Linked DNA regions of Alligator mississippiensis. The protein of the gene in region 2 purifies or fractionates together with the protein of the main gene of each other region. This does not show direct contact. Links are inferred from orthologs where the notes say so. Each region holds a gene or a part of one and is shown on either strand. Other genes may lie near its edges.

Region 1 (6,922 bases), on a different chromosome or scaffold from region 2:
TCATCTTGGAGTCCACTAGGACTCCAAGATCCCTTTCCGCTTCCGTTCCACCCAGCAGGTCATTTCCTAGGCAGTAGGTATGCTGGACATTTTTCCTCCCTAGGTGCAGCACTTTGCATTTCTCCCTGTTGAATTGAATTCTGTTGTTTTCTGCCCACTTGTCCAACCTGTCCAGGTCTGCTTGTAGTTGTTCCCTGACCTCCGGCGTGCCCACTTCTCCCCACAGTTTTGTCTCATCCGCAAACTTGGACAGAGTACACTTCACTCCCTCGTCCAAGTCGCTGATGAAGACATTGAAGAGTATCGGAAGAAGGTGTTGGGAGAAGAACTAGAAGTTCTTCTCCCGACACCTGTTCACTGGTAGACCCTTTCCCTGTACTCTGGCAGGGGAGAATATAGCCAGTTCTCATAACCCAGGCCTACCAGATCAAATCTCTTAAACCTTTGCTACCACCTAGCTAAGACTAAAAACAGCAATGTTGAAGAACTGCCTTCAGTCATTGTATTAGCGGGCCAGATATACAGCTAACAACTACAGTAGCCAATTTTGGAGATAATTTTGCCAACAACAGCATTGCTAATTTTGCATTCCTTTTGTTAACGCAGCTGTTCCTAGTGCAGCAGTAGCAAAGCTGCAAGCAGCAACAAAAGAATGTAAGCTATCTTGCCTCAGAGATGATGCTGTATATTTCTAAATTTGCTACTGCAATGACAAGGACTGATTTTTTTTAAGAGTTAATTTATCGAGAAGTTCTCTCCTTCATCAAAAAAAAGCTTCATACTCACTTTGATCCCAAAAGCTTGTAGAAAAGGATAGTTTTCTTGCGATATCTTGGTTGGTCTAATAAAAGGTATTGTTTTGGAACCAAGAGTTCTAGTTTTTTGTCTGTCATACTCACTTCATACTCAGCTTCATCAAGGAAAACTTCATAAGTAATTTAAGACAATACAGGTTTCCCTTGATTTATGCGGGTTCTGTATGTGCAAATTCATTCTTATGCGATGACCCTCTTTATACCAAAAATTCTTTACATGCAAGGTAAATTCACTCTTATGTGATCAGTGTGGTGGAAGCCCGCAGTCAGCTGCTTTGTGCAGCACACTGTGGGAGGAACATACCAAAATATAGTCTTGTGCGTGGATCTCCTTGCTCATGGTCTGTGATGAGTTTCTGTAGTTGCCATCCCCATTATGGTAACATTCACCACCACCCTATGCTTGTGTGTACTGTCTGCTGTTGGTGAATACCAAAATTGCCTTGTAAAAGTGGTAGAAATGGGTCTGGGAGTCAGTAAAGTCAAGGTCTTGGAACATATCCCTATTTGTTACACTGTAAAGTGGGTTCCCTTTATGCAAATTCAAGTTACACTCCATTTTCCAGGAATGCACATACAGCATAAAGAGGAAAACCTATAGTGATAATTATTACCATTATCATCCTCATGCATCTGGCAATGTTCAGGATGCTTTAAAGACATATGGCAAGGTTCCTGCCTCAAATAGCTCACAATGAGGATCAGAATCTTTGCAGCGATGTCTGCAACATACAGGGCTGTCCGCCCCGGGTCCTGCGCTTTGGGGGGGCCCCACGGAGCCCAGCCGCTCGCTACCCCACCCGCTTCTTCAGGTCTGGGATCGGAGTGGTGGCACGGCCCTGCATGGACCGACTTGCCCTGGGCCCCGGATCCTGTTCGAGTCGCCTCTGGCAACATATATTTCTAGAGATGACAGCAGGGATAAATGGAGTTTGAGTATGGAAGAATCTACTTTGACAATTACGAAAGCCACATACAAGCTATGGCTACAGCAAGGAAAAGATCCCCTGGTAAATGGGGTTTATATAAAGAAGGTGAGAGGGGCTGGGGCGGAAACCGAGAAAACCATCTTGCCTCAGTGATGCATAATGGAAGGACTGAAAAGATCTGACACGACATTTGCAGCTTAAGCCTCAAAGAGGTGAAGCTCTTTTGGGTAATATAGAATCATAGAAAATGAGGGCTGGAAGGGACCTCAGGAGGTCATCTAATCCAAACCCCTGCTCAAAGCAGGCCTGTCCCCATATCTTTTACTGCACCAACTGTACAATTGGCATAGAGTAAGAGAAGTTGTTTAATGCACAGCAGTCTTCATCAGCAAGCCTTGAAGAGGCACTGGAGGATTGGCATGGGACCGAACCATCCCTACAGGAGCCAACTCTGTGATGCCTGGAGACTATTACCGTCCAGCTGCCTTGTGTGATTGAGAGGCAGGGGTCTCAAGGAGGGAGTGGAGGGGCAGGGAGGGGTTCAGCCAGGACGCAGGAGGGAGTGTGTTGAGGGCACCAGGCCAAGGGGACATTGGTGAAGAAGACAAGAGGATGAGTTACCAGACCTGACTGCTTGACAAGACATCAGGCCAAACAGAAGAGAGTGCAGGGGACGGAGATGGAGAGGTGTAGCCTCAGCCCCAGCCAGACGCTGGCACCAGCCACGACTGGGCTGTGCCCGTGCTGCTGCTGGGACTTAAAAACAGAGGGCGCTTCCTGGCCGCGCTGAGGTGGGGGTCAGGAAGGACGCAGCTCCCTGAAACCCGCAGAACAACCTGCGCAGCAGCTGCCGCTGCACCTGGGCAGGGAGAGCAGGGCAGGCGCGGGACGAGACGGAGAGGTCAGGCAAGGCCTGGGCGCGGGGGGAGAAACGCAAAGGCTGTCGGGAAGCGTAGTGCGAGCACCAGGCTAGCGCGCCGGCCCCGCGCGGACCGAACTACAGCTCCCAGCGTGCCCCGCGCACACCGCCTCTCCCCCCGCCAACCGCTGCGAGACCGGCGCACCCCCTCCCCCAGCACCACCGCTACCTTCCTCGGCGCCCGCGACCGGGCCGCTCTCTTCGCTGTTCGCCGCCGCCATGCTGCCCGTTTGCACACGCCGCCAAGCAACGCAGGGCCACGCGCAGATTAGCAGCCTCCTCCAGCGAGGCAGCCCCACCTCCACGCCCTGCTGAGCGCCCTCATTGGGCGCCGCAGTTTCGTCCCGGCCTGCCCCGCGTGGCGCATATAAAAGGCGCGTTCCCATAATCCTCTCTTCCTCTTAGTCGCTGCCGCCGCCCAGGCCGAATCTACCGCCATCATGAAGTGAGCTCTGCTTTACACCCCCCCCCGGTCGGTTCCGCCACCCAAGCGCCCCCGCTAACCTACTGCGTTTGTCTCCTCGCAGGGTCGAGCTGTGCAGCTTCAGCGGCTACAAGATCTACCCAGGCCACGGCCGCCGCTACGCCCGCACGGACGGCAAGGTGCGCGAGGGTTGGGGAGTGCGGCCCGAGAGGACCTGGGGGAGGGGAGGCTGCAGGGGACGGTGGCTGTGATGTAGAGACCTAGCACAGCCCCGAGGTATGCACAAGCCCAGGGACGCTGGCAGGCTTTAACCCTACACAGGGGCAGCAAAGATGGTGGCAGATGACGGAACAAGGACCGCTGGTCTCAAGTTGCAGGGAGGGAGGTTTAGGTTAGATGTTAGGAAGGACTTTCTTATAAAGAGGGTAGTAAAACACTGGGGCAGGTTATGCAGAGGTGGTGAAATCTCCATTCTTGGAGGTGTTTAAGACCAAAGTAGACAAAGCTTTGGCTGGGATGATCTAGTTGGGGATGGTCCTGCTTTGAGCAGGGGTTGGACCTCCTGAGGTCCCTTTCAACCCTTACTTTCTATGATTCTAAGGAGGACTCAGCAACTTGACAAACATATAAACTGTGATGGTTTGAATGGAGTAAACCTATTGTAAAATAGGTATATTTGTGTGCATGTCTCCAGGTTTTCCAGTTCCTGAATGCAAAATGCGAGTCTGCATTTCTCTCCAAGAGAAACCCCCGCCAGATCAACTGGACTGTTCTGTATCGACGCAAACACAAGAAAGGACAGTCTGTAAGTATATTTAATATATTATGAATAACGATGCTTTAATGTTGAAGAGAGGCATGTGAATCATCCCATTTGCCACAGGTGTGCAAACAAGTGACAACTCCTGGATTGTGAAGTGGGCTGTAGCATTTAAGTGATACAGACCTTCACTTTTACCAATACAAAATTCATATCCTTGTGATTCTGGCCGTACATAGTTCCTGTTTGTTGGCTTTTGGTTCTGTCAAATACTAACACTTTGACATTAAGGCTGGGCAGTGTGATGCCACTTAATTCTTATTCGGAAGGATTACTGCAATGAAGGGAAGAGTTCTATATTCCTCTCTAGTTGGTAGGTGATTAGTTGAGTGTACATTCTTTGTTACACTTGTAGCAAGTGTAGCTTGTATCTGTTTTAAAGCTTGGACTGTGATTTTTAGGTCCAACTTAATTATGAAGTGATTGCTGGGTATAAAAATCCTGAATCTCTGCTACAGCATCAAATTTCAAGTATGTTTCCAGTAGTTTTTATGGTTCCCATCATGCTATGATAGCTGTCATGGCATCTGGCAAAGTTGATTGTCACCTACAAAAACTTATGGCTCTGAAAGAATTTTTATATGTGTTTTGGGGCACTTTAAGCGTACCACACTAACTAAAAGTGCCCGCGTATTGTGTGCATCTTGTGTCCCCACACTGAAAAATTGGTGGCAAGGCCCTTTGAAATAAAACACATTCAATGAGCTTTAGTTCAAAGTGCCCTGCCACCATCTTTCATTGCTGGGACACACAGGTCACTGATGCATGTGATGCTGAAGGCTGCTGGAGTGCGTTCATTTCCATGCTTCAGCGGACTCGAAATCAAGTCTGCTCTGATGTGCTGAATTTCTGGCATGTCAGAGCGGGCTCCCCATGTCTGTAGGAGCTGCCCTGCCTTCTGTCTCACCTCATAGCTAACTGCCTCTTTCCATTGTGTAGTAAGGAATTTTTAAAGGTGTTACTTAAACTTTAGCTGACAAGGTTTTTGATGCTTGTTTTGATTGGAACAGGGAAACACATATGTGATTAGGTTATCTATGCCAGCTTGTTTGATAAAGCCCCAAAAGTCTCTTTGGTGTTATAGTTAAGATTTATTTATTTATTTATTTATTTTTAAGAAAAAGTGAATAGGCTATGTGGAGAACTGCAACAGTTTTCGCTCTCTCCCATCATAGTAGTTTCTGAACATGTTCTGTTTTAGTCTTCTTGGGATCTCATGGAGTTCATTATACTTTTTGGATTATAGAAAGTTAAATTTGAAAATGTGGTTTCTGGAAGCAGGGTTAAATAGGTGGGCCTGGAGAGGGGAGCTGAAGTATGTGCCATTTTGAGTAATCAAAGAGGAAGGTTTGCTAGCATTTTCTGAAGATGGTCAAACTTGACTTCTCATGATTGGAAACTTCATTGCACAGCATCCTTTTGAACAAAATGACTTATACAAATAGATTTCCTGTTTTTAGGTACTCATAAGGAATGCTCTTACATTCTCATTGCACTTAACTCATTTCTCTTATCTTTATTCTTTGTCTTCATAGACGATAAATAATGCATTGATGATTTTGGTATATGTAGTGTGGAGATGATTGCCATTATGGTCAGCATCTGCCAAAACAGATTCTTACTCTGTTAAGGATTTTGGAGAAAATGGGGACTCTTCAACACTGAAGACAAATGCAAATAATGCAGTGCTCTTTGTTCAGCTTCTTGTGGCACTAATTATCCAATTCACACCTCTCCCATTTTAGGAAGAGATACAAAAAAAGCGGACACGCCGTGCTGTCAAGTTCCAGAGGGCTATCACTGGTGCATCTTTGGCTGAGATAATGGCCAAGAGAAATCAGAAGCCTGAAGTACGAAAAGCGCAGCGGGAACAAGCCATTAGGTGAGCAGCTGAAGGCAACTGTAGCGATCTCAAGTATTTCCAGTGTAGCAAATATTCTGGTTTCCATTACAGATTTCTAAATTGTGCTTGAGGTCACAGTTTGCAACCTGGCTTGTTAGTGGGAGGGTAGAGTTGGAAAGGAAGACAAAATACTTAAGGTAGTGCTAGCTTGAGGGTTAAAATGATGAAGCAGATAAGACTGTTAACACAAAGTCATGGGAGCTTTAAAAAAAAATAGCTGTCCAGTTTTTGGGGATGCTGCTTTAGTATAGATAGAAATTGCCTTTACTGCTATTTGGTCAAAAAATATATTAAAAAAATGACTGGTTATAATTTAGGATGGGGGAAATGCCACTTGTATTGTTTGGAGTACTACAAGCTGTTGTATTTTTTAAGATTCTGAGTGAGCTTTCTCAAGATGCCTTATGCAGCTATAGGCCAGAAGTCAAATGCATCATAATTTTAGGTTTACCTACCTTCAAAGCAGTTCTTGTTTCTTTAGTATCGTTGTAGATAGAGTCCACTTCGTTTTGAGATGGAAGGAAAACATTAGGTGGAAGAAGCAAATAGTTATTGTAACTCATTTTGTTTTTTTTAAAAACAGGGCTGCCAAGGAAGCCAAGAAGGCTAAGCAGGCAACCAAGAAAACTGCAACCTCTACTACAAAGGTGATATCTTTTAGGCCAAAAGGGTAGAAATTTATAAAATGTAAAACTGGTAACTTGAAACATGCCCATAAGAAATACTGTTGTGTGGAACACCTGACTGAGAGCTTGTGCATTGCGTGCTGCTTTTGCTGAAACATGGGCTTCGGCAGTCTACGATATGGGAGAGATGCTTTTAAATCTTCACTTTTAGAGACTGCAACAATACTAAATTATTGCATTTCCTGATAGCATGACTATCATATTGATGGTTGCCTGTTCTTTAAGCTGGTTAGCACTGCAGGGCTCTTCCTGTAAACCTCCTCAGCCTGCTTTGCTGAGATTTGTCACTATGCATACGATACCACTATCTGAGTACACTTGCCTCACTTCTAATGAGGACACTCTATGTCCTCAAGGAAGAATTAAAATGGAAACACTACAAGAGATTTTACCAGCTAATTTTACCATTTGTTTTCAATCTCTCTT
Region 2 (7,549 bases):
GTATTCCATACAAATAAATAATCTTAAAATACAAATTCACTTAAAATATATGTGTATAACAGAGCTAACCAAGACCAATTATAAAACAAGAATAAGTTAGAGGAAGAAAGAGGAAGGAGGAAGAGAAGAGAAAGCAATAATGTCTTTTAATCTAGAGATGCCATCTTAAGTATCTTTTAGAACCAGTTGGAAATAGATGGAAAAATGTTGATATCTCCCATGAAACAGCATCTCCTGTTGCTGAGACACTCTAGTAGCATTTCTGAATAAAATGAAAATTTTGAATTTTTTTTTTTTTTTTAGGAAAAAAAAAAATCCTGTTTAGCTGAAAAACTTTTTCTGATTGAAAATGGGGTTGAGTGAAAACTTTCCAATCAACCTAGCATTTCCATCCACTCTTTTTATTTGGTACTATTTTAAATAAGCCCAAACGACATTCAGCAACTAGCAAATAAGCAATTTTCCATTAAAAATAAAGTATAATAGTAGCAGTATTTGCCTGGTTTATACCACCATAAGTATTTTTCTTATGAGACATACATTATTTCACAAAGTGAAAGGAAACACAGTAAATAATCCACTTCTGTGCCCTGTATGTACTAGGCAACAAGTTAAGGCGTAATTAAAATGGAGCTGCTGCTGCACTGAGACTTCTCCAAAATCCTCCTAGTGAAGCATCTCTGATGTTAGAAAAGATTTTAGAAAGACTTCTGTGTAGCCAAGGCCTGAGGGGCACACTGTGGGATGCATAAGCAATTGGGCCGCAAGTTCATCTTAAAGGCTTTGATTGTGCTAGTCGGCTTTGTAGCTGCATTTCTTACTATCCAACTCTTCCAGCAGTTGTAGTGTTGTCTAGACAAAAATGGTAAGGAACTTTTTACACTATAACTTGTGCTTATCTACGTGTACTAATCAAACAAGGGCCCAGCAAGAAGAGAGCAGGGTAGGAAAAGAGCCGCATTCACAAAATAAGGCTGGAAAACCAACAGGTATAATGGGAAGCTATGAAAGAATCCAACATAAGAGTACTCATCTAGTGGTAAACACCTCAATCCAAACTCTGGAATGGGAAAAATTATTTTTTTACTTAATCGTATCATAAAACTCCACTCCCATCAGCCTTTGATTTCGTTCCTGAACACTACAGAAATGCGCTAGTCATGGTTGGTTGCCCCATAACCCAATATAGATAAGTGAACAAAAATGGTCTCTGCCTTTTCTAAATGTAAGTACTTACATGTCACACTTACCAAGGGTGAAAGCACAGGAATGCCATGGAACTGGATAAGTGAAATATTTTTGTGCTGAGTAGGCAAAGAGATTTCTTTTGGTAGCGACTCTCCTTGAAGCCTGGCAAGATGCTTTTCACAGAATTTTTCATAGTCTTCCATCTTCCTTTGATTAAACTGCACATAGAGATATATTACTACCACCATGGTACTACCAGTGGAAGAAATACAGCAGGACAAGTACAACAAGAGCAGGTTGTGAAAATGATTCTGTTCTCTGCGATACATTGCAGCGAGAGACAGAAATGTGACATGGAATATTTCATACAAATTCTTGTTAATCTGTGCTATTATGGACTCCAAGTTAAGTAATCTCCAGCGTACTGCTGTCTCAAAGGGCTTGCTTCTCAAGGCAATCACTTCGACGGGAACAAAACTAGGACCTTAAACTCCAGAACAGCCTTAGGTTTCAAGCCATTTGTAACCCTACTTACCATCTACACTTCTTGTTTGACTGTGCCGTGCTTTACAACTTTGGCAGTCAAACATCTGAAAGCCAGTACAAAAGATAGGATGTTGCACTGCTACTACAATCACAGAAAATGGGGCTGGAAGGGATGTTATGAGGTCATCTAGTGCACCTGCCTGCCAAAGGCTGAATGAACTGCAAGTCAACCCTTCCTCACAGATATTCGTCTAGTCGTGCCCTAAAAACCTGCCAGATCCACACTCATACAATTAGGAAGTTGGGCCTGACATCCCATTGTCCCCTGCTGCACATTAATCCTCTACTGTCCCCAGCAGAGTGGAAAAGTTTACAACCTTCCCCTTTCCACATCATCTCGGTTCTCTCTTCTTTAGACTAAATAAACCCTATTCTTTCCATTTCTGCCCCAGGGTCGTGATTTCTGAACCTCTGGCCTAGACTCTTTTCAAATGAGCTCTCTTTCTTTCTTTTTTTAAACACACTGTCTTCAACTGGACACAGCAGTCATGCGGAGACCTGGCCAGTGCAGGGAGGAGAACCACGCCGTACGTTAAGGGGCAGATGGTGGCAGTGGGGAGGAAGGAAATCATCTTTTTAAGGTGGGGGGCAGAGGGAAACAGGCAGACGAGGTTTATTCACAAGTCAGCTGGAGAACGCAGGCTGCACACGGTCTGTGCAGTCACTGAATCTGCCGTAGCATGGAGGATCCAAAAGCAGCTCTTTGCTGGATTTCCCACAGCCCTGGCAGGGGGTCAGAGCCCCCAAAAGTCTCCTGCGCTACCAAGGCTCCTGCACTGATGCAAAGAGACTCACGGCCAAGCTCAGAACAAATCCTGGCCCCGATGTCTTGAAGGCAGCAGCGCCCAACACCCCTTTCAATGCAAGGCTCCTTTGCAAACTGGGTAGAAACCAGGCACCCCGGGGACACAGCCTGGGCGCAGACACACACACTCGGTGGCGCTGCCCGGCGCCCCAGGCAGACCACAGCTCACAGCTGGGCAGCCCCCGAGCGCGGGGCCCTCTCTCCCTCCCTCCCTCCCTCCCTCTCTCTCGGCCGCCCGCAGGCGCCAGGGCCCCGCGCAGCGCAGCGCAGCGCAGCGCAGCGCAGCGCATTCACGCGCTCCTCTCCCCGCCCGGGCCGCGCGCGCTGAGCTCGGGCCCGGGGCCGCGACCACAGGCCGTGTCCCCGGGTACCTGCCGGCCCCGCTCGCCCACGATCCCGGCCCCGCGCTCCGCCGCGCCAGAGCCGCCGGCGCCTGGCAACCGGGGCCGCAGCCCGCCCCTCCCCCTGCGCTTCCGGGGCGCCGCACCTGGGAGCACTCACGGGCGGGAGAGAACTACAAATCCCAGCATGCACTGCTCCCCGGCGCCCGTCCCGCGCCGCTTGGCGGGGGCATTGCATGCTGGGAGCAACAGGCTCTCTGGCCTCCGCGGCGCATGCTGGGAGTTGTAGTTTGAAAGGAGAGAGGCGTACCCTCCAGTCTAAAGGGGAAGGTGGGTAACTGCTCATGCCTCTGCGGGAAGGTTTCTGCTCCTCCCGGATTTCCCAGATTGATCCGGATACTCCATGTAAACCATGCTCTGTTTCCAGTAATCCTTCCCAGCATTGGCGATGTGTAGGTGCACACAGGTGCACATGCACCCCCTGAACGTGGTGGTGCACCCCCTGCAGAAAGGCCAATACCACTGGCAGCATCTGTGGGCGGCCTGTGATCGCCACTGGCCACCTGCCAATGCTGCCAGCAGCATCTGCAAATGGTCACTGGCCATCAGTTGGCGCTTGTCACCCCACTGCCCCACCGCCGACAGCGCTGTGGCCCCCTGCAGGAGCTCCCTGCTTGCCGCTGCCATGCTCCCATTGCTGACAGCAGCGCTGCCTGTGGGAGCTCACCGTGCCCCCCCAGCCGCCAGGGGCACGCAGCATTCATGCTGCCCATGGCCTGAAAACAGTGCCCTGAAAACAGCTCCTCTCTTCTTGTCATTCATTGTCTAGTTACCAGCAGCAGCAAGGGACCTGAACTGCAATGTCCCCAGTTTGCACTGGGGAGATGACAGTGTTTGACATGGGCACATGGCAACATGTGGTCTCATGATCCTTGGGGCACAGGCGCGACTGCCACAGGCATGCTCTCCTTTTGGACACGTGTCAGAGGAGACTGCACTTGCTCCCAAGCGTCATGATGCTCTGCAGCCTGGGCTGCAACCAGCTGTAATCATGCTGCCATAGCGGGCCTCAGCCATAGCAGAAACACTCACTGTGATGGGCCGGTCAGTTTGGAAGGAACCTGTGAACTCTGCTCAGTACCTGCCATCAACAACCTCAGACAGAGCATGAGAAGAAGTTCAGTAGACGATCAGGGCAAAAGACATTCATTTCCTCTAACAACACTCGGCTCAGGCAAGGTCTGAGTTTAGGTTGTTGCTTGAAGTGGAAGGAAAAACAGAGAACTACAAATGCATTACAAAATCAATTCAACATTTAAAACGTACAGCTGGCTGCAGATCATCAAAAGCACCTACATCACTCTGTGTATGGCTACACAGGAAGCTTAATGCACAGAAGACTAATTCAACTGCACATTAGTGCGGCTGGCAAAAACCATGCTAATGCACTAATGTGCGGTAGATTTAGTCTTATGTGCATTAATGTCACCAAAAAAGCATTCATTTACCCTAATGTGCAGTCGCGCTGATTACAGCACATTTAGAACCTGTAATTACAGGTACTAAATTTAATGTGCCATTAATGATCATGTGGACGCTAAGTACGAAATGCAAAATCGGTTTGGTTTTTGTTTCTTTTTAAGGAAAATTTTTCATGTCCCAAGTCACATCAGCCAGATCAATTCCAAATCCATGAGTCTTTCAAGAACCATGTGGCCCTGCTACCGGCAAGCATCTTCCACCTTCACCTGGGCTTCAGATGCTTCCAAATCCTGCAGTGGGCATCCTATGTGCAGGCCCAAGCCCTGAGGCTTGGGGTTCACATGCCCCCAAGTTTTGCTTGCCTTTAACTGTGTGGCCGCAGGCAGAGACAACCCGAGCAGGTTGCAGGGCCTGGGGCCAATCAGCCTGTGTGGGGTCTTGCCCCTGGGATGCGAAGATGTTGGGGGTGGATTTGACCGCAGGCAGAGGGGGGCTGCCCAGCAGTCAGACGTGAAGCTGGCGGCAGCGGGGAGTCGCCGCTCCACCCGGCTCCACGGGGCCCCCAAAGCGCAGGGCCCGCAGCTGTCACCCCGATTCGCCCCCCTAGGCACAGCCCTGGCCGCAGGAGGGAAGTCTCAGTTTAGAGACTAGTGGGGCTACAGCTACGAAGCCCAAGCCCCGTCAGCCACAATACACTTAGCCTAGAGCATATCCTAAGAATAAAACCTAGAGCGCACCCGATCCCGTCTGATCTCAGAAACTAAGCAGTCCCAGGTCCGGCTAGTACCTGGATGGGAGACCGCCTGGGAATCCCGGGTGCCATAGGCCTAATTCTTTTCTGCCCTTTGGGCGGGGGGCTGGACTCGATGATCTTCCGAGGTCCCTTCCAGCCCTAATGTCTATGAAGTCTATGAATACCAAATTAGTGCTCAAATAACCTAGAGGTGGCTGATTACGGGGATTTTTGGCACAAGTCCCTCCACACTCACTGCTGCTTCTACGTATGCCTTTAACTAGGCAGAGACAAAGATTTGGGGGTAATCTCTTTTATTCGTTTAAATGCCAAGTCTCCCAACGGTTTTTCTCAGTTACAGCTGCAGGACTACAGGGGAGCCTGCCTGGGGCAGAGAAAACCTTCAAATCACGCTCCCTGAAGAGGAAGAAAGCAGGAGATCGACATTAATAAGCTGAACTCGCGTTGCTTGCAGGCAGCTCCTGGTTTCGCAGCTCCAAGCGAGCCGCCTCCACCTACTGGGCAGCCCTGAAGGCGGGACCCAACCCCAGATCCTGCCCCGTTCCGGCTTTTCAGCCAATCGTTGGCTGAGAGACTCAGCCAAGATGTGTCCTCCATGACGATTGGCGGGCGGTGGCCAGTTGCTGGAGGATGACTGGCTGATAGCAGAGTGGGGCTGGGCGTTGATTGGTTGTTGGCAAAACCCACCGGTGGGTGTGGATTGGCTGGCGCGCAGCTCCGCGGCGCATTGTGCGCTTCGGTGCCGACGGCGCCGGGCGGGAGTGGTGGCTCGGTTCCGCTCCGCCTCGCTATGTTGCGCGGCGGGCCGGGCCTGCTGGGCGCCCTCACGGCGCTGCTGGGCGCGCTGCTGGCGCTGAGCCGCAGCCCGGCGCTGTCCTGCCTGGCGCCGGCCGGGCTCTACCTGGCGCTGCGGCTCTTCAGCCTGGAGCCGGCGCCGCTGTCGCGGGCCCAGCACGTCCTGCAGCCGCGCGGCGCCGCCGCCCGCATCGCCCACCGCGGCGGCGGCCACGACGCGCCCGAGAACACGCTGGCGGCCATCAGACAGGTCCGGGCCGGGGCCTCCCTGCGGGCAAGGCAGCGCTGCGCCCCTCCTGCTCCGGGCCTTGCAGCCCCCGCCCGGCCTTGGCCCTGCTCTCCCCGCTGCGCTGGGCCGGGCTGGGCCGGGGGTGCTGCACGCCTGGCCGGAGGGAGGGGGAGCCGGCTGCACCCAAGGGCTGCGGTGCTGGGGGGGGGGGGAAAGATGTGCTTTGTTTGCACCGCCACTGGCCCCCTTCATTTGCACAGCTGCTGGGACCAGGCTGCTACGTGGGTGCTGACACCCAGGGGAGACGGGGCAGGGAGGAGAGCTGGGCTGCGGCATGCTGCCCAGCCCTGGCATCCAGGCGCGTCCACAGCCTGCTGCGCCGGCTGCTTCCCCTTCTCAGAAAGGCACAAGCCCGGGTTGCCTGGAGCCAAGCAGAAGTGGGCAATTAAGGGTGCGACAAACAAGGAAAGTGCCGCGAAGGTGTACGATGGGAGTGATTAGCGCGGGCTCGTCAGCAAACCACCCGGAGGGATTGAGAGAGCTGCTAAAATTGATGGAGACATCAGGTTAGCTGGGGATTTGCCAGGCATGCCTCTGTGCATTGTTAACGGTAAATATAGCAGTTCTCGTTGCCCGAGGCAGTCCGGGGAGCGCTGGGTACCCAGCAGGACGCATTTGGAAACCGCAGGGAAGAAGCTGTTTACATCTCTTCTTTAATGTTGTTCAGCTACTTGAGACCTGAGAAATGTAAAAGACCATCTGAAAAAGTCAGTAGCCTAGCACTATTTCTACTGGGCATTCTTCCTAACTGAGGTCCCATGTCTTGAAGTGACACCCAGCATCTGGATACTGAAAGGTGAAGGCTGTAGAAAAGGCATGTCTGTGTGAGGACAGAGGGATGAAGGTGAAGAGAGCAAGAGAGAATGGATAATCCAGAGCAGGGGTTGTCAACCGGGGGTACGCATACACCAGGGGGTACTTGAGAAGGCCCTAGGGGGCATACACAGGCAGGCGGGGACAGAGCACTGCCATGCACCGTTGCACGCGGGCGCTGTCTGCCTGGCTAGACATGGTGAGGAGCTTGCATGCGCTGGCTGCCACCGTGGTGCATTCAGGCATGCACCTGCATCCCCCACCCCCTCTGTCTGGCCGCAAAATGTTGAAAACCCCTGATCCAGAGCAACACACATTGCCCTTCTGTTTTAAAAAGCTCAGTCCCATATTGACTCAGCCTTGTTTTTCTTTCTCTCTCTTCATGGGTTTCCCTAACACATACCCCTAAAGGAGTAAGCTCCCTCCAAAGCACAATCCACAACCACTTTTCTCCTGCTTTGTGAAGCAGAGGGTGATGGTGCTATCACCCTACTTTTCCATTGATTAGAGGAGTTGCTTAGGATACGGGAATACTG

What was found. Proteins that work in one complex are often made in the same cells at the same time.
Region 1: the proteins of CCP110 (region 2) and CEP97 purify together in Homo sapiens (co-immunoprecipitation; 10 studies listed by BioGRID and IntAct, with this or other methods). This does not show direct contact. The link is inferred for Alligator mississippiensis from reciprocal best matches to the Homo sapiens genes CCP110 and CEP97.

The regions. Positions count from the first base shown.
Region 1 is NC_081824.1:262,277,127-262,284,048, forward strand, and holds the start of CEP97 (centrosomal protein of 97 kDa), read right to left. Parts: upstream 3,050-6,922; coding exon 2,833-3,049; intron 1-2,832. Other genes in the region: RPL24 (large ribosomal subunit protein eL24), read left to right, coding at 3,104-3,108, 3,191-3,266, 3,782-3,892, 5,653-5,789, 6,394-6,457. UniProt on the Homo sapiens protein: Acts as a key negative regulator of ciliogenesis in collaboration with CCP110 by capping the mother centriole thereby preventing cilia formation. Required for recruitment of CCP110 to the centrosome.
Region 2 is NC_081836.1:45,264,297-45,271,845, reverse strand, and holds the start of CCP110 (centriolar coiled-coil protein of 110 kDa), read right to left. Parts: upstream 3,010-7,549; 5' UTR 2,911-3,009; intron 1,407-2,910; 5' UTR 1,392-1,406; coding exon 1,251-1,391; exon of another isoform or gene 1,238-1,250; intron 1-1,237. Other genes in the region: GDE1 (glycerophosphodiester phosphodiesterase 1), read left to right, coding at 5,907-6,161.